Linked DNA regions of Lonchura striata. The protein of the gene in region 2 interacts with the protein of the main gene of each other region in a biochemical or structural test. Links are inferred from orthologs where the notes say so. Each region holds a gene or a part of one and is shown on either strand. Other genes may lie near its edges.

What was found.
Region 1: the proteins of MAP1LC3C (region 2) and STK3 form a complex in vitro, tested with the Homo sapiens proteins (2 studies listed by BioGRID and IntAct). The link is inferred for Lonchura striata from reciprocal best matches to the Homo sapiens genes MAP1LC3C and STK3.

What each region holds. Positions count from the first base shown.
Region 1 is NC_134603.1:22,422,573-22,433,875, reverse strand, and holds the start of STK3 (serine/threonine-protein kinase 3), read right to left. Parts: upstream 5,656-11,303; 5' UTR 5,503-5,655; coding exon 5,480-5,502; intron 1-5,479. UniProt on the Homo sapiens protein: Stress-activated, pro-apoptotic kinase which, following caspase-cleavage, enters the nucleus and induces chromatin condensation followed by internucleosomal DNA fragmentation.
Region 2 is NC_134605.1:47,768,052-47,779,318, reverse strand, and holds MAP1LC3C (microtubule-associated protein 1 light chain 3 gamma), read left to right. Parts: upstream 1-6,969; coding exon 6,970-7,027; intron 7,028-7,109; coding exon 7,110-7,165; intron 7,166-7,284; coding exon 7,285-7,391; intron 7,392-8,389; coding exon 8,390-8,600; 3' UTR 8,601-8,926; downstream 8,927-11,267.

The DNA.
Region 1 (11,303 bases), on a different chromosome or scaffold from region 2:
AGGGTACTAATAAAGTAGAAGATGAGCTGAAGAAAAGCTGGTGCTGTAATGTTAAATAGAGTCAATGTATTCCAGATGCAGGAGGAGGAAAGGGAAATAAAAAAAGGAAACTTTGAAGAACAGCAGATCATGGAGAACTTACAGAAGGTAAGTTATCCCACAACACTTTCTAGAAATAAATAGGGGAAGAAAGGAGGGCATGGACAAAAAAGATTGACGAATCTTAATAGTGTAAGAACAGCGATCTGAAGAAAAAAAAACCTTCATATTAGGAGATGCAATTCTGTGATACACAAAATCAATAAAAACTAAAGTGACTGAGTGTTATAGTTTAGAATGAGAGTGAATTAAGAGAAGTGATGTAAAGTTTTTTATGTAACTAACAATCTTTTAAACTACTGGAAAACTAAACACTTTTGTGAAACACACATGTTAAAGATGACAACCTTACTACCTTTTTTGTCCTTCTAATTACCTTTAATAAAATTCTCTTTTGTACCCTTTTAAAGTTTTAAGCCTTCTTTGCCTTTCTCCTAATCCTATCTCACAGCAGAAAGTGAGTGTATTAGTGATTAGCCAGCACCAAACCCCCCGTATTCTGTAGTGCATTAGCCAAAAAAAATCTCAAAATTAAAAAAAAACTTAAATTAGCAAACCAAAACCTCTGCACGAAATTAGTGTTTCTGCCCAGTTTTGAACTGAAACCACCACACTGACCAGTGAGGGAACTCATGAGTCAAAATAGATTTATAATTGCCAACCATCTAAGTAAAAGCAAAGAATTTAAAGTAACTGTAAAAGCACACAAGTCATATGGATTGGTGTTAAACAAGGGACACAAGGCAAGGAGAAGGCACAAGGGTGCACACATTATACACCAAAAAACAATTTCACAGATGTAGCAATTACATTAATACAAAAAGCATCCACAATCAGTAAGGAAAGGTGCATTAACTACAATAAAGACCATGCAGTTTGCTACAGCAAACAGCCAAGAAGCTGGAAAGTCTGTGTCTTTAGGGAAAATAAAACTCTTCACAGCAAAGGGAAAGCAACTTATCAACATGGAGAAAAACAGAAAAAAAAATTCAAATTATGTTCATATTATTCAAGTCGGACAAACATGTTACAAGACCAAATCACACTTAACATTAAGGTAGCTTAATACAAAACCTATTTCCAGTGAGAAAGGTACATGGCCTCAGGAATGTCATCACCAAATACTGTGCTCAAAGCACCTCCCCCGCTCGTCACAAGCACTGTAACAGTACAGATGCTGGGTAAGATGTTCAAGTGATAGTATCAACACCACAGGTCTTTGAATCAACAAAAAATCCTAATGACTCAGACATTCTAATGATTTCTGTTTCTGGATGTTTAAATATTCAGCTCTTGAACTGCAGAACATCAGGTGATATACCCTGAAGGGCTGCAGTGAAGACAGCATTGCTATAAACTCCAGGAGAAACAAGGAAGAAGGTGGCGACTGGTGTAACTGGCTGCAAAGCACCAAGCAGAATACAAGAAGAGACTAGAAATAGTACCTTGTTGCTTAAAAGCAACAATCTTAGGGCAGAGAAACACATCTAAGAGTTCAGCATCAGCTTTTACTGGCAGAGGGAAGGGGGCAAAGTGAAGAGGGGGCAGGAGGCAAAAATGAAGAGATAAATGGCACAAGAGCAATAGGAGAGAAAGACAGAATGTGTCTCACTCTCTCCCTCACTGATTCCCTACCTTCATAACACAAGCATTTAAAACAGAACAAATAAATCAGCACATCCAGGCACTGCTTTACTCTGGCCAAAGCATGCAAGTCCCATACGTCTGTGTATGTATGTATATATATCTCCATATATGAGAAAGTCCAAAGGAGATGCAGAGAAGTTCAGTATAAAACCTGGACAAAGTTGTTCTGAGTTACTTTTTTCTCTAGAATCTAAGTTATCGGGTAGTGATTATGAGCTATTTTAGAGGTCTTCTAGAAGGGAAGCTGGTCCTTAAACCAGAAGGATTAACTAAATTACACTTCTGGGAAAGGCCTGTGAAAACTATTTTCTTGTTCCAAGGTTTAACTTTCACATAACACCTTGTCTCTTAACAAGGAAAACACATCCTAGCAAATAATTATACTTTTATAAATCCAGTTCATACGAGAAAACATTAATTCCTAGTCTGACCAGAATCTTAGATGCCATTGAGTACATCAGAAAAACTCTAGAAAAGGAAAACCTAGTAGGCACTCAATAACAGCATAAAGATCAGAAAAATTTGAACTGCAACACGAAAGAGCAAGAGATTTCCTCCCTAAAAAATGAAAGGAAAAAAAAAACATGACAATAGTACCCTACAGTCTTTATATATAGATTTCACAAAATAAATTGGTGATGTGCTACAGCGGTAGGGATAAAAAATCCTTGAAAGTTCAAAAATCAAACTAAAGCTGGAATAAAGAATAGAAAGCCATCAATGACTGTCATGAGTTACAAAAAACTGGACAGCCGCTCCAAGAAACATGAATATATACAGTTTATTGTGCAGAAGAACTAGCACATTGAAACATTTAAAAAGAATGGCTGGGATCAATTATACTGATATATTAAAAGAGAAGGTAGTAGGAGCAATCACTGCAGTCATCTGAAGTAGAAGTGGCAGGTGGAAGCCTTGGGACATTTGTTCTGCTTCACAGCACTCACACAAGTAGAAGCAAGATTAAGACAGTTTACACCACTGTGCTGTGTACTTCCATTGAGCATCCTGCCAGCAAAGCCCAAACATTTTTGTTTCATCATTTTCAGGAGGAACTTGACAATTGCCAACATGTCCACTGACACACACTTTAAAAAACAAAAACACACTTTTTCACAAACAATTTGTATTCTAATAACAAGTTTTTATTAGAACATGAAAAGGAAAAGCTTCCTTTTTCCACAAAGCCTGAAATGTTGTGTTTTTCAGTGAACATTAAACTCAAGTTTAAAGAAAGGACTGGAAAATCTTCATTAACACTTCCCATGCTTGTTAAGCAGACTTTTATTTGACAGCAACATGCAGGAGATAGGCAAGATTAAAACCTATGTACTTGAGAAAATTCTGTCAATAACTACTTTGGTTTTCCCTTGTATGCAACCTGTATCCTCACATGCGAGCTTGCCAGGGATACAGAAAAACAAAGCAATAACAACCAAGGAAAATCACACCACTAAGAGGCAAATTTTGTAACTATTTCAAGAGTAAATCTCCTTCCTAGTGAGAGAAAAATCTATAAAGCACATCTAAAGTACAATTAAAGATTCAAGATGCAAGAAAACACTGTGTCAACTACTGCACTAATTGTTCAGCATAAAATCAGAAAATCTACTCTAAATTATTTCTAAAATTTAAAATATTCTGAAAAGGAGTCTCCCTTTAAAGTCTGGTGTTAGTGCTGCAGTGCATTAGTCAAATGAAAAAAGTGAATTATTTTGATAGCACCTCCATTGAAAAGTCACAATGGCTTAGAATGTCACTTGGGCATCACCACTGCTGCTTTCTGAAGGGCTGTATTACAGATTTATACAACAGGCAATTGCCTTGTGTGCTTCACTACAAGGAAGTGCAGATAAAACTGCCCTATACCTATGAGGTAACACTGGGATTCTAGGACATCCATGCAGCTTTTTATTGTACATATGAAATTCCTACTAACTGTAAATGGAAATGCATCACAGATATGATGACAATAGATCCCTCTCAGTAACTGCTCCTGTGAACAGGCACCAAAGTAAAGAATTCTAGTGTTCACATCTGTTTTGCCAAGTAAACACAGTCCATTTCATGCCACTACTGCATCCAAGGACAGCACCAAAAACTTAGCCCACAAAAAATAATCTGCATTTCTTCTGCACTTGCAGAAAAAGGGGGTGGCCTAGAATAGTTGAGAATACCAACAACTGGGAAACTGTACAAAACTACCAATAAAGGAAATATTATGCACAGCCATGAAAAATTTGCTTGAAATCTTAAGAAATAACCTCAGTTAATATCTTGCTGAGTTCAAATTTTCCCTCCCACTAAAGAAACAAATCACAAATTTCCAGAAATAAGCTTCAAAACCCATGTGGAATATAAAAACATGCCAGAGTTTAGATATTCCCACATCTAGTTATTTCTGACCAAATCCAAAGACCTAAATATCTCTTTGTTTCAGTTAGGCCAGACACACACCTCCAGCTAGGTAATAAAGTTACAGCAAATGCCACATCTTCCCCAAAACATTTGGGAGGTTATGCTAACTTCTGAGTTTGATTTTCAGTCCTGTTACACCACCAGTTCCCAACGTTTCCACTGCTACTAGCAACATTGATTACTCCCCAGACTTTTCCATTTCTTTTCCTAAATTTGTGCTGGTGCTTGTCCTACTTCCTTCATTTGAGATATGCAGAACTGTCAGCCTGAAAGTACAGCATAGGTCTGTCCCTTCTTACCCCACTGCCTGCTAAAACCACCCTAGATAGCAACTACAAACCAATTCTTTTTCAAAATTTTCCACAGTAGGTACTGTCACTTTATGAGTTATTGGAGAAGTCATCAGATGTTTAAGACTACATTCTTCTCAAGTCTTATCACCCTACAGGAAGTTGTTTTTAAAGATGTTTTTTCTAAATGGGGAACATATAGGTTTTAAAGATTAATGCAAAAACGTATCTAATATCCTTTATCACAAATTTATATTGCGTAGTCCCTAGATTTTTTATTATCAGGAAGCAAAAGTAAAATCAGAGCTCAAAGGCAGTGTATATATATACGTAAACCATGTAACTACATTCTGTACACCACACAACTATGGTCTGTGTATTGTACAACTATATCTTCTTCCAACTGAAATATATGACTAAAATTTAACACAAAGTTATTTTATGCACTAAGAAGTCAAGTGATACATTATTTTTAAAAACGTGCACAGTAATTAATATGACCTGCCAGTCTATATATTTGAGAAAATACATCTACTGTGGGAATATTCCTGGCTTTTACCTCTTCCCACTCCCCGATTTGCAATTGCAACTATGCAACGCCCACCCCCACAAGCATCCATCCCTCCAGCAGCAGAGCACAAGGACACTTTCCAGCGTGAAAAGAGAACTACTCATGTGTGCTCCTGCCACAGACCTGAACCATCGAGTGAGAGACCCTCAGGGCAGAGAGGACTCTGCTCGGCGACCAAGCTTCCCTCACTTCACGTTAAAAATGTTGTTAACTCCAGCAGCCCCCAGGGGCTCGTCTCCGCCGGGGCTGTATTTCCACTGGAGGCTGTATTTCGGAGGATCCACCGTACAGAAGAGCCCTCCCCACGCGAGAGAGCCCTCCGGCCGCCGGGCAGGGCGCAGGGCTCGGTGCCGTGCCTGTCCCACTGCCCCCTCACAGACCCCGGGCCCGAGGCCTCACCCCGGCCGTGCCACCGCTCCTGGCCGGGGAAGGGGCCGCCGGGGAGGGTCCTTACCTCTTGGGCGCTGCCTGCTCCATGCCGTCCCCGCCGCGGCCCCGCAGGGCCGAAGACCGAGCGCCCGGGCCGGAGCGGCCCCGCAGAGCTCCGGAGCGATCTCACAACCCCGCCACAGAGCCCTCAACCTCCCACGGCCGCGCTCCGGCTGCCGCCACTACCGCTACCTCCGGCCGCGGCGGGGAGCCGCCCCCCCGCGCCGCTCATTGGCTACAGCCGCGCCACACCGGCGCTGATAGGGTGGCGTGGACGTCGCTCAGAGCGGCGGCTGCGAGAAAGCCCCGCCCCCCGCGAGGCAAGCGGGCGCTGCCGCGCCGGCGGGAGGGGAAGATCATGGACGCCGCGGCGCTGCCGAGCTCCCGGCATGCCCCGCGCGGCTACGGCCCGCGGGGCACGCCGGGAGGTGTAGTCCGCCCGCGGGGCGTCCCCGCGAGCCGGGCTGTGCGAACCGGCACCCCCGCGGCGCCGTTCCGCTCCCGCGCTCCGTCCCCGGCTCTGCGCTGCGCCGCCGGGCAGGGCAGCCCCAGGCAGCTCCGCCGCCCAAGGGCGGCCCTTCCCCCGCGGCCGCCCCGTGGCCTCGGGCAGCGCTGCCGGGCGGCCGGGCGTTCCACCGCCTGCGTGCGCCGGGCGAGGCGGCGGCGCCGCGGGCAGCCCCCGCCTGGGCGGGCGGCCGGAGCAGCGCTGAGGGGAAGCCCCGGGTCCGGCGCGGCGGCCGAGCCGCTCCCCGCTGCCACCCCGGGTGGCACGGGCAAGCTCCTGAGGGGAAAAGGGCCGGCGCTTGGCCCTTGGCTCTGTGGTGCCAAAGCACACAGGGTAGCCTGCGAAGCAGGGAAGCTGTCACGTAATTAATTACTCAAGCAGCAGGTTTCAGGCTCCAGAGCACCATGTGACAGCTGCAATTTCACCACCTTACAACTTCGACTTACGTGCTTGAATCAGATGGATCCAAGTAGATGTAACCAAGTCAATACAAGCAAAGCTGACTTGCTCAAGCCAAATTCTATATACTTTCCTGACAGTAGGTTTATTTGCCTAACTAATGGAAGTTCAAGGTAGTAAAACACCTAGGCAAGTTGCATAAAAACACTGAGATGCCCACGTTTCACTTCAAACTGATTTTAGATGTGCAGGTATTACACTCCCACTTCATAAAAATATCTGCACTCCATACGTAATTTCATCTCTTTGATGTGAACTAGCAAGGGAATTTAGAATGAAGTCCTACTGTTGTGCAAGTTCTCTACTTTGAGTCAGTCCAACCCTGTTGACTCATTGTAGTTGGGCCAAATGCACAATGGCAATATTGAATGAACCCACAAAACAAATCACACACCACCATATGACCTTTTAGGTTTCTTTGTTTTTCTGAGTCATGGAAAAACTGCAATAGAACATCTTCTTTTGCACAACAGATTAATGCACAGCTCTTCCAAGCATCATCCCACAAGCCACAGTGTCTCACCAGCAGAACTGCCAGATGTGTCCATAGCATAAACAGCAGTTTGTAGGATATGCCAAAAAAAAAAAAAAAAAAAAAAAAAAAAAAAAAAAACCACTTAAGAAAAGGAGCCAGCAGATGCCTGAGATGGAGTATGGTATAAGTGCCTCAGAAAGTGGTGAGGAGGAATTCCACATGTCTCATTTTCCAGTGAGGTCAGGCAGATAGCAAATGCCACGTGGCCAGTGTCCAGCTTTGTTCTACAGGATATTTGGCTATAGCCACTGACCAATTATTATTTACAATTCACCAATTTCACCTAATGAATCCCTCTTTGGCTTTAATACTTCTGGAATGCAGAGGTTGTCTCCACATCCTTTAACACAAATATTTAAGACAGTATTTTTTCCAGGTTATTTCAGAGGAGGCGAGTTTTGCTGCCACATCTCAAGCCAAAGGTGCCACAGACTTACACATTAAAGCATGGAAAAGGATTCTTAGAAATAAAATACAGGTACTATATTATAGTTGCAACAGCAATACAAAGAAACAGAGCCAAGAAGTGCTCCCTCTCCCCATTCACACATATATTTCATTTTCTGGAAAAACTTAGGCTAAACAGTCTAATCCACCACTTTTACCTCTCCCTTAAACAACAATTGACAAGAACAAAAAATTTTTTTCCAAGCAAAAAACTAGCACATTTAGAAATTTTCTCATTTCATTTGAAATTATTTAATACCACCATCCCCACTTCAAAAAAATACCCTGAGTCCTCAGTAACTGAGGAAGATGGAGAAAGACTATCCTCCATCTATGCCACTGAAGAAAGAAAAGGGTGTCAAAAACTCAAGATGTCTGAAAGAGGAGAAGTTAGATAGCCTGGCTTTATTACATAATGGGGCAGACAGTGCCAAAAAAAGTATGGACTAATTCCATGCCTCTCTCACAGAAATTTAAGTTGTATCTTGTACAATTGCCAGAAAGCTTTCTAAGTACATTTAAACTGAAAATAAAACATCAGTAGGATAACATATTTACCACAGTATTTTTCAATATCACTTTATTAATCTCTTATAATTTCTAGTAGTATTTTTAGTCAGTGACATTGGAATAAATAGCACTATCTCACCTTTCCCCTGTGACATGAATTTGAGAACCATACTGTGAAATATAACACTGATTTGGTATTCATTACAATACTGTACTTAGCCACTGGCAAAGAAGGAACTTTGAAAGGGAAAACAGATTCCCTCTGTTCTCCTACCTCATTCAGAGTTCCCAGTTAAGAGAAGTCTAGATGTTCTGGAGGCATGAATATACTATGAGATTGCTGGTGTCTAGACAAGATGGAGATGAGGAAGTTGCAGACACTCTACATGAGTATTCCCATGATTTCTTCCAACAGCAGGACTAACACTAAGAAGCCAGCTGAGTAAGAAAAGGCTTAATGTAGCCCAATCCTAAAAATGTAGGAGGAAACTAACTGAACTACTCTTTTCTTCTGAAGTATTTTATCCATTTTACAAATTTACCTGCCTGAATTAGGTCGCCCTTCTCTTCAGAATTGGCATCAACATCAAATACAATTCCTTAGGCCAAAGAATGGATGAAGACCATACTTAATTTTTGAGTACTATAATTATTTTATAATACAGTTTTGTAAACAGATAAAATAATATATATTATAATTACTTATACTACAATGAAATCAGAAATCATGATGTATGGACAACTATTAGGTGCTGTAGAAACATACACAAAGGAAGTTCTTAAGCCCCTAAAAATATGAACTAAAAAGTCCTAAGATATCAGTCCTGTCTCAGTGTATATAGTTTGTAATAAAACTAAGAAGAATAAAAATTACTTGAGAAGCTCATGTCTGCATTTTCAACAGGTATTACTAATGTTGGGATTTAAATTACAAATATGTACTTCAAAGTCATTCATAAACATCATGCAAATAAATTACCTATGTTATAGCAGGGACTTTATCTCATCCCTTTGATAGCAAATAAAAGCAGCATTTACTTCAGAAGGTATTAGATCAGGCTCATTTAAACAAAGTACATTGTAATGAATACATGATGCTACTGTAAAACAGCAGAATTAATAAATAGTGTGTGTTTTCCAAGAGATACTTGTCATGAACACTCCCCAAAGAAAATGCCCCTAGTCCTTCATCATGTCTGTGCTGCTTTTCACAGGCCAGCTCTTTTTCCTTGCTTTCTACCCTTTCACCATGGTAGCTCCCATTTCTTTCACACAGACCGGGTCTTCAATGCTCTTTCCCTTGATGTGGAATTATCATCCCACAGTAGCTCCATTCACCTGCTTGGCACACCAAAACCAACAAAAGCCATATAGACCCCCAAGCACGCTCCCAGCTTGATCCTCCCTAAAACCCTCCACATCACTGGTGTCTCACCATGCCTTGGCCCACTCTGGCATTGGCCCACAGAGTCCTAAGGATGCTGTGTCTCCATCACATCTGCAGATTCACTCACAGGAAAAGGTGTTTGGCTCACAGGAGAATGCTGGAGGCCAGTGCACAGCATGGGCCCAAACCCAGGTAAGGACAGAGTTTCCCTTATTTTTCCTTTGCCCTGGAGTAGACTGCCCCACAAGCAGGGCATTCCCTCCTCTACCCTTGAGTTTTGTAAAAATAGGAATTTACTATAATTACAGACCTCCAACTTTCCATGAAACATGTTTAAGACTAGTAAGGTAAGTCACAAATTATTGTGAAGGGGAGAAAGGTAGGGGATGTCAGGCAAGCACAAAGATGGAATGAATTCAGGAGCCTGCTTTCCTTGGAATCCAATTCATAAATTCAGTAGATAAATAGTCAACAACAGCATGTTTGCATATCTCTCCCTGTGACTGCCTGATACTGATCTGGTATGCCGAAAGTTAAGGAAAAGGCCTTGAATGAAATACCAGCTTGTTTATACAGAAGATAAGGAAACTTGACTTCTGCCTGTATTTTCTTCCTACCTATCATGTCTAATGTGAAGTAACCTTGAAGACTTATCTAAGAATTTGTTATATACTTTTCTAACCTTGTCAGTCATAAAATAGTTATACATAAAATATAAAAGAACATAATATTTTCAAGCCTGGAATAAAATTTATATTTTTCTATAGTGGGTTTTTAAGTAAGTTTAGGAATAAAGAACAAGGCATAGAGACAGGGGGCTCTCCTTTCCTGATCTATTCACCATTTAATGGTTAATTAATGTCACTAAAAGGAAAATGAATTTTTGCTGGTCCAACAAAAGAAAGAGGCAGAAGATAAAAAGTCAGGCAATATATAAGTACAGCAATATAGAGTCTGCTATCCATTTCCAGTCTGTTAAAATCAACATGATTCACAAAATTCCTACTTAACATTAAAAAGAGTCATAAAAGGCCTATAAAATATTAGCTGCACTGCTGCAATTCCTTTCACTACCTAGTATACATTATTTTGATATTCAAAATATTATTACTGGACCTAAAACCATTTGTTGATTAGGATAGGCTTTTACTGTTGACTAACCATTTTGTTCACAGTCTTGGTAACAGGCTATATATAGAATTACCATTTGCTATTTTTCCTATTATAGCACACTATGGTAAAAATAAACCATGGATACAGAGTTGCTATTTACAGTTGACCACAGAAGATATTCTAGCCTGTACTACAGCTGCATTGATTGTGCTCATGGGATCTAGATTGGCATTAATAAAATCATTATGGATTGTGAAACAATTACTGTTGTGGTAATACTGAGGGTTACTCTGGATTTTCTTCTGCACAAAAATATTCCTTCTCTTTCTGAGAGCAACCATCTGCTCTCCAGTGTGCAAAGAGGTGTGCTCACACCCTGGAGAATAAATAAGTAACATTTAACTAGCAAGCCTTCATGCCTGCAGCCAGGGTGGAAACTAGTATCAATAACAAAAGAAAGATTGAATCATCATTACTTGATGAATCAAGTACTTCATGAAAGCAGCTTCAGCTGTGTGAGTACACACAGCCTTATGGCCAAGGCTTCCACCACCATGGTGGCTGGATTTTCTCCTATCTTCCTTAAGCTTCTGAGATGAGAATTTTAATAATACATGGTCAAAATATTTAGAGAAGATAAGGATTTTTTTTTTTTTTACAATTTTTGGGCATAAAGATTTCAAGAGGCTAACAAGACCCATTCTTTCAGATTCAAAGGAGGGAAGTTTCCTTGCCTTTGTGGGCCTTTCACCTAAGTGCTGGAAGAGAAGTTTCAATATGTGTGATGCCAAATGACAGAATAAAAAATAAGGAGAACTCAACAACCTGAAAACAGATTGTGAATATTGAGCACTGCAAAAACAATGCCATTAAGTACTTACAGTTTATTCAGT
Region 2 (11,267 bases):
GAAGAACTAGTGGAAAAAGGAAAAGTTGTTTGAAGGAGAGAATACTATAAACTCAGAAAAGCACCTGATTAAGTATTTAAAGATGTATTGAAACTGAATGGGGACAGCTCTTGATTTGCTGTCTAAAAGCTTAATGTGTCCTTCTGCAGTCCGATCGCAGCCTTCTTGGAGTCGTTTGGTTTGAATGAAAACCCCCAGCCTGCAAGCAGAGACTGTTTCAGACAGGAACACATCTTACTGCTGAGCCCAAGAGACTTAAGTAGCAGCATACAACATCCATCATGCTGGTGCAAACAGCCAAGTGTGCATGTGCAGGGAGAAGATTTCTATTTGTCAGAAGGGTCCATGGATCTAACACTCCAGTTGCTCCCTCTGGACCATTATTTTCTAAGTGTGGTTCAACCTTGTGTTTGAGAGGTCCTCTTTAAAACTAGAGGAAAATTTACACTTGTCCTCTATTAAAAAGGATGCTACTTGGGCCCAGTAGAAACTAAATGACACTATCCCATGCATTTGCTCCAAAGGTCTTCATCACAGACAAACTGATACGAAGTATTGACAATATGAAGGATCCATATCAGAAGCCTAACATTGAGTGACCCAGATACCACTCTGAGTCATTTGGTCCTTACATATGGGCTCCCTGAAGTTACCAACAGGAGCTTTTTACTTTTTACTGCCAGCAACCACATCTACCCTGTTAATCTGTCTTTTTATAGGATGAGAGTTTCACCAGATCTCAGACCTGCTTTACCTAATCGTTAATTTAAATCATGAAAAAAAAATCCTCTTCAGCAATATTTCCCATGCAGGATTCTTCTTGTTCTGAGAGTCTCCCTTACAAACACTGAGGTGTCAGGAAAAAGGCCATTTTGTGGTGCTGGTCGCCACGGTATGGTTAGAGTCACCAACAGTAACAATTGCATATCTATTCCTGACCTTGGCTCTTGTTGGGTGCACTATGAAACTGGCATTGCATTGCTTCTCAAGACACTGTTCAAAAGAGTATAGGGAACCCGAAAGCATACAGGTAGTGAAAGTCACCTGCTTTCCAAACACAAGAGTTTCTCTCTTCCTCTGTCCACTGGCCATAAGAAAACAGGGCTCATCATCCCTAGTTAGACTCCTGAAGTAGACAATTTTGAGTATCTGCTAATGTTTGGGTTACAATTTGCAGTAATCCCATATCAGTCCATAGCACTTTCCAGCATTTTTATATCCAATAATTGTTTGCATTTCTCCAGAGCCTCATTCATAGCACATGAGTATGACCTGAGCTCTGCAATGCATTTGTTATGCAGCCAAGTACATGATATGGTTCAGGGGCTTGGCCAGGTCCCAGCACTTGTTTAAAATCACAGAAGTAGAATAGGTGGCTCAGTACAGCCACCAAGAATAGTTATCTGGGGGTCTTTCTCTGAAAATAGCTGAGCAACATCCCACTCTTTTGCATACATGAATCTTGACATTTTTCCTAACAACTTTAAAAAATTCCCTAAAAACAGATTTTTGAAACAAAGTAAACAGTCTTGACAGTGTAAAGAAGGAATCTAATCTTTCCTTTATACTTAGATTTTTATTCTTTGGATTTGGACCTAAGCCTTAGACATTTCTGCTGAAATCATTTAAAAAGGACTTCAAGTCCTGAGAGCCACAGTTGCTAAGTACCTAAATGGGGGTACCTTAAGAGTCCAGATTTTCATTAAGGACAGAACAATTTCCCAGTAGGGATCAGGCCTCTTACATATCCACCTGAGAGAAGAGGTATCCAAGGAGTCCCAGTCACTCCTGGAAACTCTGGCACTGCTCTCCTGATGAGGCTCTCAACCCTGACAGAGAGCTTGACTCTCTTGCCCCTTCTGTCAGAAGGATCAAACAACAAAGTTGCCAGCTTCACAGTGACATGTTGAAGCTATTTTTAAAACCCTCTACTATGTGTCAAACAGACAGTAACAAACAGCCTTTTTGAAGGCTAAAGTAGAAGCCAGTTTCCAGTATATACAAACCAAAACCCAATGGATACTTTTGGCATTGTCTGTCGCATTCTTTGGAACCTCAACAGGGAGGACAGGAAAAGTCTGCAATAAAGCCAAAGACATCCTATCTGAAAAGAACTGAACTACATTGGACAAAATACTTTAAAGCCCTGCATGGAAGAAAAAAACACTTCAAACATTATTATGATCATATTTGGACAAAGAGTAAGTTTTATATCCATATTTGCAGAGCAAGTGATGCTGTTGCTTCTCACCAAGGCACCAGCATCAAGAGCTGTACTCATAGTAGGAGCATTATTAAAACCAGCAAACCAGAGTGCAAATGTTCTACCAAGTCAAACAGCAGACACAGCAAGATAAGAAAGAAATTGTGCCCATAATTCCAGTCCACAAGAAGAACACTGCTTTAGTTTCACAAGGAAATTGCCTAGTAGCAACAATATCAGTTCTGTTTTTTCTGTAGACAGAAAACAAAACACATTGCATTTTATTAGTGGTAATAAGAGAACAGATGATAGGAAAGGAAGATCCAATAATGCTTTTTCCTCTTTAACATTTGCCTAGACCTTGAGTTCAGCCCCTGTATGTCAGGATCCATCGCTGTACGGGCCACCAATTGTCAGCATTGGTGCTTGGCAGTAACCAATGGTAGATGGTAACTGACTGCCACTGTTAGTTTATTATCTTACTGTAAGACTTTCATACCTTCTCCCTGTGAGTTCTCATGGGCAGTTCTCACAACACTGGCTCCTTTTCCTTCCACACAGCTGCCTGACCCTTTCTCATCACAGCCAAGTGACTCCAACTCTCCCTCAACCAGCTGAGCCACTCTTTTATAACACCCATCCTTACTGGACACAGCTGTGACATATTAAAGGCAAGGCTGTTCCTACTCTTTGGTAATTAGTACAGCTGCAACTCATCAGGGGCAAGATTGCCTTCAGCACTGTCTCTATTCTCTCACAATCCATTCTCCCACACCTGTAGGGCAAAAAGCCAGTGAACCACTGCTACAGCAGGAAACAGAAAGTCAAAGATGTACTTGCAGGGGCTGTGACCAACAGGTTGCCAGCTCACACCAGCTTTTCTCAAAGAGAGTAACTGATTTATTTTTGGCTTTATGTCTAGTCAGAATCACCAATTTGAGTAACCCTTGCTGAAAAATACTGAAAATTTAGGTCTCAAATTCTTGTAAAATTTAAAATGCTAAACTATGAGCACTTATGTGTGAAAGAACTTAAAACACTACTGAGGATACACCACTAGAGCTCAGCTCTTTCAATATGGTTGAAAATTCAGCTAATTAATATTGAGAGCAATTTTAAAAATCTTGAAATGAAAGAGCACAATGAAGAGAAAAGTACAACTGGTGCACTTTAATCCAAATACTAGTTTAAAGAAACTATTCCATCACAATGAGCTGAATACCAGGCATACAGGCAAAGATAAGAGAGAACTATTGAGTCTAACTGAAGTTTCTTCTGTGGAAGAGACATTTTAAGATCAAAATCTCAAGCTCTGGTACAAAACAGTAATGTAATCTCTGGTTTAAAAGTATCATAAATAATTTCTAATCCTTGTGGCTACACCAAGAGATCATCAGTTATGATGTAGGTTCAATATAAGAGTTCAAAAATCAAGAGATAAAGAAAAAGAGCCAAAAGTACATATAAACCCTAGTCAATCAAGTGAGAAATACCACTGCTGACCTTGAAATTTATCTCAGCATTTTGAGACAAGTTTATAATCTGAGTCTTATTAGTGGGTGACCTTGGACCAAAATCATACTACAGTACTAAGCATCGCCTTAAACATAATAATACTCCAGCTAACTTTTTTGGTATAAAGACTTATGAATTCACAAATTTAGTTACTGGCACACAATAACTTCAGGCTTATCCATAAGAGTGGGCTTGCTTCTGTGTCACAGGAGGACATACAGACAGATTCAGAGTTGCAGAAGAAAGAAGTAAGTAAAGGATTCCATATCTGTAACTACCTGTGTTCAGGAAACATGCAAATATTTAGGATGGCTCTTTGAAAACCCATTAAATTGGTTGGCTGAGCCTGACTGCTTGAGGGCTCTTCAAAACCTCCTGATTATTTTCACTTTCAACCTCATGGTTCACTTACAACCCCCATGGAAACATGTATTTAAGATAACTATGCATAATACTGTAGAACTTCACAGGCTTTCGCAGAGCGACAAATAAGCCCTCATTTTGCCAAGTCACATTTTTCCCCTAAGAACATCATGCTGCAGTTTCTCTTGCTATTCAGTTAGGTTGCTTAAATAATCTCAGTCCTTATAGCACTGTATCATTCATATTTAAATTATTAGTCTACAGATAACTTGAGCCTTACATCCACAGTATCTCACAGATCCAGATGAAAGCAGTGCAAGTCTCACAGCATTTGCAAAAAGTAGATGGCTGCTTTTGGCTAAATTGTTGACTCCCTGGGACACATTGGAGTGTTTGAGAGCACTTGCAGAGCAGATCATTTCAATATGGAGACAGTGGACACATGAGAACTCAATCACACAGCTGCAGACCTTGGGCTTTGGAAGAGGCTATGGATGTGGCAATGAAACAACTAGATAAGATACAGAACTCTGACTTTGTCCTTTAATGTTTGGGGACTTAAGGATGCCTGTAAGTGCTGGCTTTGGACATTCGAGCAGGTAGAAACTTTTGTCCTTCCATTTCTGTATCAATAGTATCCTCTGAGTATTCCATTCTCTACACAAAATTGCTCTATCAGCTCATTAATTATGTGCGTGTAAGAAAAACTTCCAAAGGAAAGGATGTAAGAAGGAATAGATTCCACATTTAGGTCTGAAACTGAGTATTTCACTGCAGAAGCAAGTATAGGTGCTATGCAGGCACATTAGACATCCCATTCTCTCTACCTCCAGAAAATTATTAATTAGCACATGCTAATTAAAGCCTGGGTTTATGCTCACTCTTAACTCTCACAGACATTAGAGCCATAACTGATCACCAGGCTTGCTAGGAAATCATCTTTTTGGCTCACCTTCTTACCAGGTTTTCACTTTCCTTTCCAGATGCTGCCATAGGAGTTTATGAACATGAAAAGAAACCACCTCTCCCTGCAAACAAGGCAGCTGATACCTGGGTGGAGCCACACTTTTGTACTTCACCTGCAGTGAGAGGTGACACAGGAAGCAGAGCATGGGTATAGATAGCAGGTTCCCTCTTCTCTACACAAGGTGGATCACAGCTCTTTCTACTGAATCTACTAGGTAGAACCAGAACGAGGGTGTGGGAAAACCGATACACTTCCTGAACAGCTTTGGAAAGCCCCATGCTTGACCACAGTTCCAAAGAAACACTCTGTGATCTCCACACATCCTCCTGTCTCCTACAGGCTTTGTTCCTGTGCTGTCCATGCAGTTTCTTTACTCTTCAAATTATTCCTATTTTCCTTCATCTTCTTAGATACAACTCACCATACTGAGTTAAGGCACTATGTCAATTCTCTGGCACACATCCTCCTTCACTTAGCCTTCCTCAGTCTCTCACCTCACCTCTATTCAAAAACCCTTAAACTAGACCTAGCTACTCTAAGCCAATCCCTGGGCTTACCTCCCCTCATGCAAAGATCAAATCATAGGGATGAGCTGGACTCAAACCATTCTAGCATAGGCTCAAGGCCTTTCTCAAAGTTCAGAGCTCTTGCCTATGAGTCCCTCAAAGCCAAGTATCTACTCTGCAAAATAAAATTTGTGCTGCCACGTGGGGGAGCTTGTGCTGTGGCTGATGCTCATCGCTTCCAGATCAAGAGAAAAGGACAGCTCAGCAGCCTTAAGGACTGCAGCCACTGCAAACTCTGTTCTGGAGAGGCTGTTTGAAAAACCTGACACGTGTAGATAGTACACAGACACTTTAATAAAGACGTTCCTTTTCAAAATTATCTTGGGTGACAGTAATTGACTTTGCCATAGCTTGTAAACTGTAAGTTGTAAAAATTTGCAAATTCTAGTTGCCCTTAACCTGGTAAAATAATAGAGTTTAGACTGGAAAATACCTGTAAGATCCTTGAGTTTATCCATTAACTAGCACTGTCAAATCCATCACTAAATCACGTCCCTAAGCACCATATCAACTAGATCATGATCAGAATGATAGATAAAATAAAATGAAAATTCCTATATTTTAAAGGGATAAGCAAAGCAAACAAGTAATAGGGCTCAGTTCCAGACCCCCACTGAGATGATTTATAAACACAACCACCAGACTGGAGTCAACTTTAGCCCTTGCTGAGCCATCTTCATCTGCAAAGCCGTCTTGACAGCTGAAGCAAACTCAGGTGAACCAGCAATCCAAAAGGCAAGGAATCATACTTACCAAATAGATGGACTTGAAGTCTTCTTGAAACCCCTTAAAATCACAACTGTGCCTCAGAGACAAAACCAGAGCTAAAACTCAGCTCTCGAGAAAATAAGCAGTCTGGTAGCCTGAGGAGATGAAAAATGACAGGGGCGGGTGGTTGGGTTTTTGGGTGGAGGTAGTTTTTTTTGTTTGCTTTTGGAGTTTTTTGTGTACGTGGAGTAGATTGTCTCGTTCTCTTTTCAAACCAAAGACATCGCTTGAAAGCTGTTTGTCGGTATGAAGAAGGCTGCTCACGTGGAAAGGGAAGACAGCTGGGGGCCACTCCAGCCGTGAGCTGCACCCCTGAACCACTGGGCAGGCTAGACCAAGCCCTCTCACGAAGCACGGCAGCGTCCCGGAGCCAGAACAGCGCGCTGCGGGGCGGCCGGGAGGGGCGGGCTCGGCGGCCGCGCCTCCCCCGGGCGGGGCGGGGCCGGGCGGTCCCGGGCCGGGCCGGGCGGGGCGGGGCCGGGCCGGGCGGGGCGGGGCCGGGCCGGGCGGGGCGGGGCCGGGCCGGGCGGTGCCGCTCCGTGCGAGGCGCGGGCCGGCGGGCGCAGCGGCGGCCCCGAGGCGGGAGGATGCGGGCGGCGCCCGGCGCGCAGCCGGACCGGCCCTTCAAGCTCAGGAAGAGTCTCGGTAGGGGCGCCGGGGGCGCGGAGGGCTGCGCGGGTCGCAGGGGCTGCGCGCACACGTAACGCTTCTCTTCTCTGCCCCGCAGCCACCCGGCGGGAAGAAGTAGCAGGGATCCGAGCCAAGTTCCCGACCAAAATCCCGGTAAATCTCTGGTTTGTTATCGGAGCTTGTTGCCGCTGTTTAAGGAAAGAAGCGTGTGAGGGGAGGGAAAAGGATATGGATATTTTAGGTTTTGCTAAGTGTGACTCTAATTAAAACAGGTAATTGTTGAGAGGTACCATAAAGAGAAATACCTTCCTCTCTTGGACAAAACCAAGTTTCTGGTTCCCGAGGAGCTGACCATGGCACAGTTCATAACCATCATCAGGTGGGTAGTGCATACTACTTGTTTGGATTTGCACCTGGACTTGGCTGCTGTTCCCAGGGAAGGTATTTCCTAGTGTGCTGCTGGGGACATCTTGCTTCCTTTGGTGGGTGGGAGGATAACACTAAAGGTGTTAGTAGTGTAATGGCTTCCTTCTCTTGCAAGTGTTTGAAGATAATAAACAGATGTTTTCATAGGTGCATTTGTGTGAAAAATGTGGTCTTTTTTGGGTTCATAGTCCCCTCCCTTCTCTGTAATTGTAGTGAAAAAAGACTATGTAAGACTCTTGTTCTGCTCTTTTCCTGCCTCATGGACTTGATACTGGGGCTCTGTGATCTTGTTCTGCTTATGACTCCCACTGCCTTGCTCTCTTAGTGCACCTAGCTGAATTAGCTTAAGTTCAAAGCAGCTCTTGAATGTGAGCAAAATGAAATGTTCTAAATTATTCTTTGTGAAACAAAGTCGCCCAAAATACTCAGTGGTATTTTCTGACAAAATGTGAAAGCTATGTTTTTCAGCATACTTTTTGAAGTATAGAAAAAGATCTTTCTAGATTGTAACTTCTGTAAAAGATGCTTTTGGCTCTTGGTCAACTTAGATTGTAATCCTTGCATGTAATGTCTCTGAAAAAGACTTGTTTTTTGAAGGTAGACTTTATAGTAAATGTAACAGACTGGAGCTGGACTCCTTTACAAAATCTGCACTATGGAAGCTTTTGGTTTCTTCTTTGGTTACTCACACTTTTTCCTGGTAACTGGGATCTCCAAGCTCATGCTCGGTAGCACCTTTGGTGTAGCCATGTAAGCCTTTCCTCAGAGCACAGGCCTTTGAGCTTCCAGTTAAGTTCCTGCTGATGGAAGAATGTAACAATAACTTTACACAGCATTTCTTGTACCTACTTCATGCAACTGCTCTGCTTAATGCATGTCATAGACTGAAGTTGAAATCATATTCAGCTTGCTAATGTTTAATCCTCTTTTTCTCCTCTCTTTTTCAATTAGAAGTAGGATGGCTCTTACAGCTACACAAGCTTTCTACCTGCTGGTGAACAACAAAAGCCTAGCCAGTATGTCCTTGACAATGGCAGAAGTGTACAGGGACTACAAAGATGAAGATGGCTTTGTGTATATGACCTATGCTTCCCAGGAGATGTTTGGATGCTTATTACCCACTGCCCAAGGGAAAACCATGGAATGCTTTCAGAAAATCTAAGATTGGGTTCATATGCTGCAGCAAAGCAGTTTGCTCTGAATCATGCCTGTGACATGAACCTCGGAGATACTCCTTCCAGTGTGAGCTCTTGAGCTCTGTAGTGGGAGTTATGATCCAAAAGCTGGCAGGACCAGCTTAAGACAGAAATGGTGGTACACTTTCCTTAGGTAATAATTTGGATATATATTTTTATATTTGAAGACACTATGGGTTAGGTTTTTTTCTTTTGAACTGCACCTCCACTGCTTTGCAATATCAGTCTTTGTTGTCAAACTGATTTTTAAGGTTTCCTGAAAGCCTAAGAGAAAAATAAAGAACCTTTTAAGTATTGAGTTGAATATTATTTTTAATCTGGGGAAAGACTCTAAAAATTTGTCTAGGAGAAGCTCCTATAATAATTTTGGGAATCAATGCTTTTTAAATGAAACACTGCTTGCACAGCTACTCTGAACTTTTGAACAAAGTATCAGTTTTAAGTTGTGTCACCCATGAGCAAAGCCATAGCATGAAAAGTTCATTAAGATAGGTATCTGGGCTGTGAGATTAAGTAGTAGTGCCAGAGCAGTGTAGAGTTTAACACCCAAATAAACTGTCAGCTGTTACAGAAAACACTCTCTGTGGTATAGATAACTATTTAAATAAGCAACCTGATTGCTAATTAGCATAACTGAAATGCAGATAGCAGGATTTGAATGGTAATAAAGTTTCAAGAGTTATTTTCTTGCTACTGAATTTTGCTAGCATGGTTACTCTAGATACTGTCATATCCATTCCCCTACAGGCATATCCTGAAGGACTTTGGTGAGCCTTCTCTCAAAAACAGAGACAAATCATGTACTTTGTGATTAAGAGATATTCCAGTGTTTCTGGAAAATGTTGAAAATATAAAAAAAAACATGTAGTAAAATGTTGATTCATCTTAATGTACAGGCTTGGTTCCTATAAACATGTATTAAAGGAACACTTGACATGAGCCTTATTCTGAAGTATAGCTCAAGCTGCCTTCCTTGTATGTGAGGAATGTATTAGAAAGCTGGAAATGCTCTGATCATGCATGATCAACTAAAAACACCAAGTAATTTAAATATCTGTCACAGTTTGCAGTTTGTTAATCAACCTCTGGCAGACTCAGTTTAGGGTTGGTCAAATTGTTACAATATGATGCAATTCTTCTGTTCAGCACTAAACTGCAGAATTATTAATGTAGGAATAACTAGACTGCAAAGAAAGAAGTGTTGACAGTATTTAAGTTATGCTTAAGGAAGGAATGTGTGTGTAAGCTTTTTGCAGTGGTTCTCTTGCATTAATAATCTCTTGAATATGAAGTTCTGAGCAGATCTGGGTTTGAGCCTCTAAACCAGGGGTTTTAGAGGAGTACCTGCTGTAGTGGAGGTGATGTTTGCCAACTCGTGTTTCATGAGCTGAGGAACAAAGAAATCATTGAACTGACCTGTGGAAAGGATAAGGCTGTGTTGGTATAGGTTATAAAAACATGCGAGCTTTGGGATGCCAGAATCAGTCCCTTGGATATATTTCACTTACCCTTGTAATGGAAACAGTTTCCACTGCAGAAATTGAAGTCCAATAGTCATTTGTCACCAGCCCTTCAGGGAAGCAGAGACACCTGCTTGGCAGGAGCACCATAAAGAAATGCTGAACAGCTGTGGGAACCTTGGGGTGGGAGGAGCAAGGGGAGACTTCCTGTGTTGAAGCTCTCTTGCCAGCCAGAGTTGGGCTAATATTTTGCTTCAATGGCTCCTCTGTCTTCCTGTCTTGTCTAATACTTGGTATATGAAGAGAGAAGCACTACAGTTTCTTGGCTGGAACAATTTTGTCTGACAGCCAACTTTCTTTGGTTTGTAATGCAGTGGCTGAGGTGTAAGTGTTGATCCCTCCAGCATTTATTAACATTAGGGTATGGTGTCTACAGGCGGAGTCACAGATCTAGCCCAAAAAGTTGCACAAGAAGAATGTCACTTGCAGGTAAAGAGCATCATTATAAACTTGTTTAAACTGGCCTGATGAACCTAGAAATAAGTCCTGTGAACTGGGAAAGGATCATTGGGTAATAGTAATAGACCTGCTTTTCTATCAGATGTTGAAGTTAGGATATTAACTATCAAAGACAGTTTTCACAAAATCTTAAAATAATAAACTAGGAGTTACATGCCCAAATAAATATGTTGTCTTGCTTGTGGAATTGCCTTGGTATGATTAGAAGATTTGAATTTAGCTTATTCTCTCTTGAAGTGCAAAAAACAAGGATTAGAAAAGAAGCAAACAGAAAAACTGCTCAGACTGACATATGCAACTGAGATAGCTGCAGCTACTTCCAATGTAGCTGTTGTTTGAAGAGCTAATATTTACTCAAGCAAATAATTACTGATTAGAAAGAGGTATATTTTTTCCAATGGAGGACACAATGTTGTGTTAAGCAGATTTTATACTTCTTTTCAATGTGCCACTAATGTAAAAAGAGATGGCAGAGGTGCCATTTGTTTTTAAAAGTTTTATCTTCATGATATGGAGTTGTATTCATTAATATCAAAGATATCCACCAGAGAACAGAAAACATTCTGAGGATACTTCTGTTTCTTCCATAGCCTACCAGCTCAATGCCAGAAGATGCTCAGTGCTCTGGCTTCAAATATAAACCAAATCAATCTG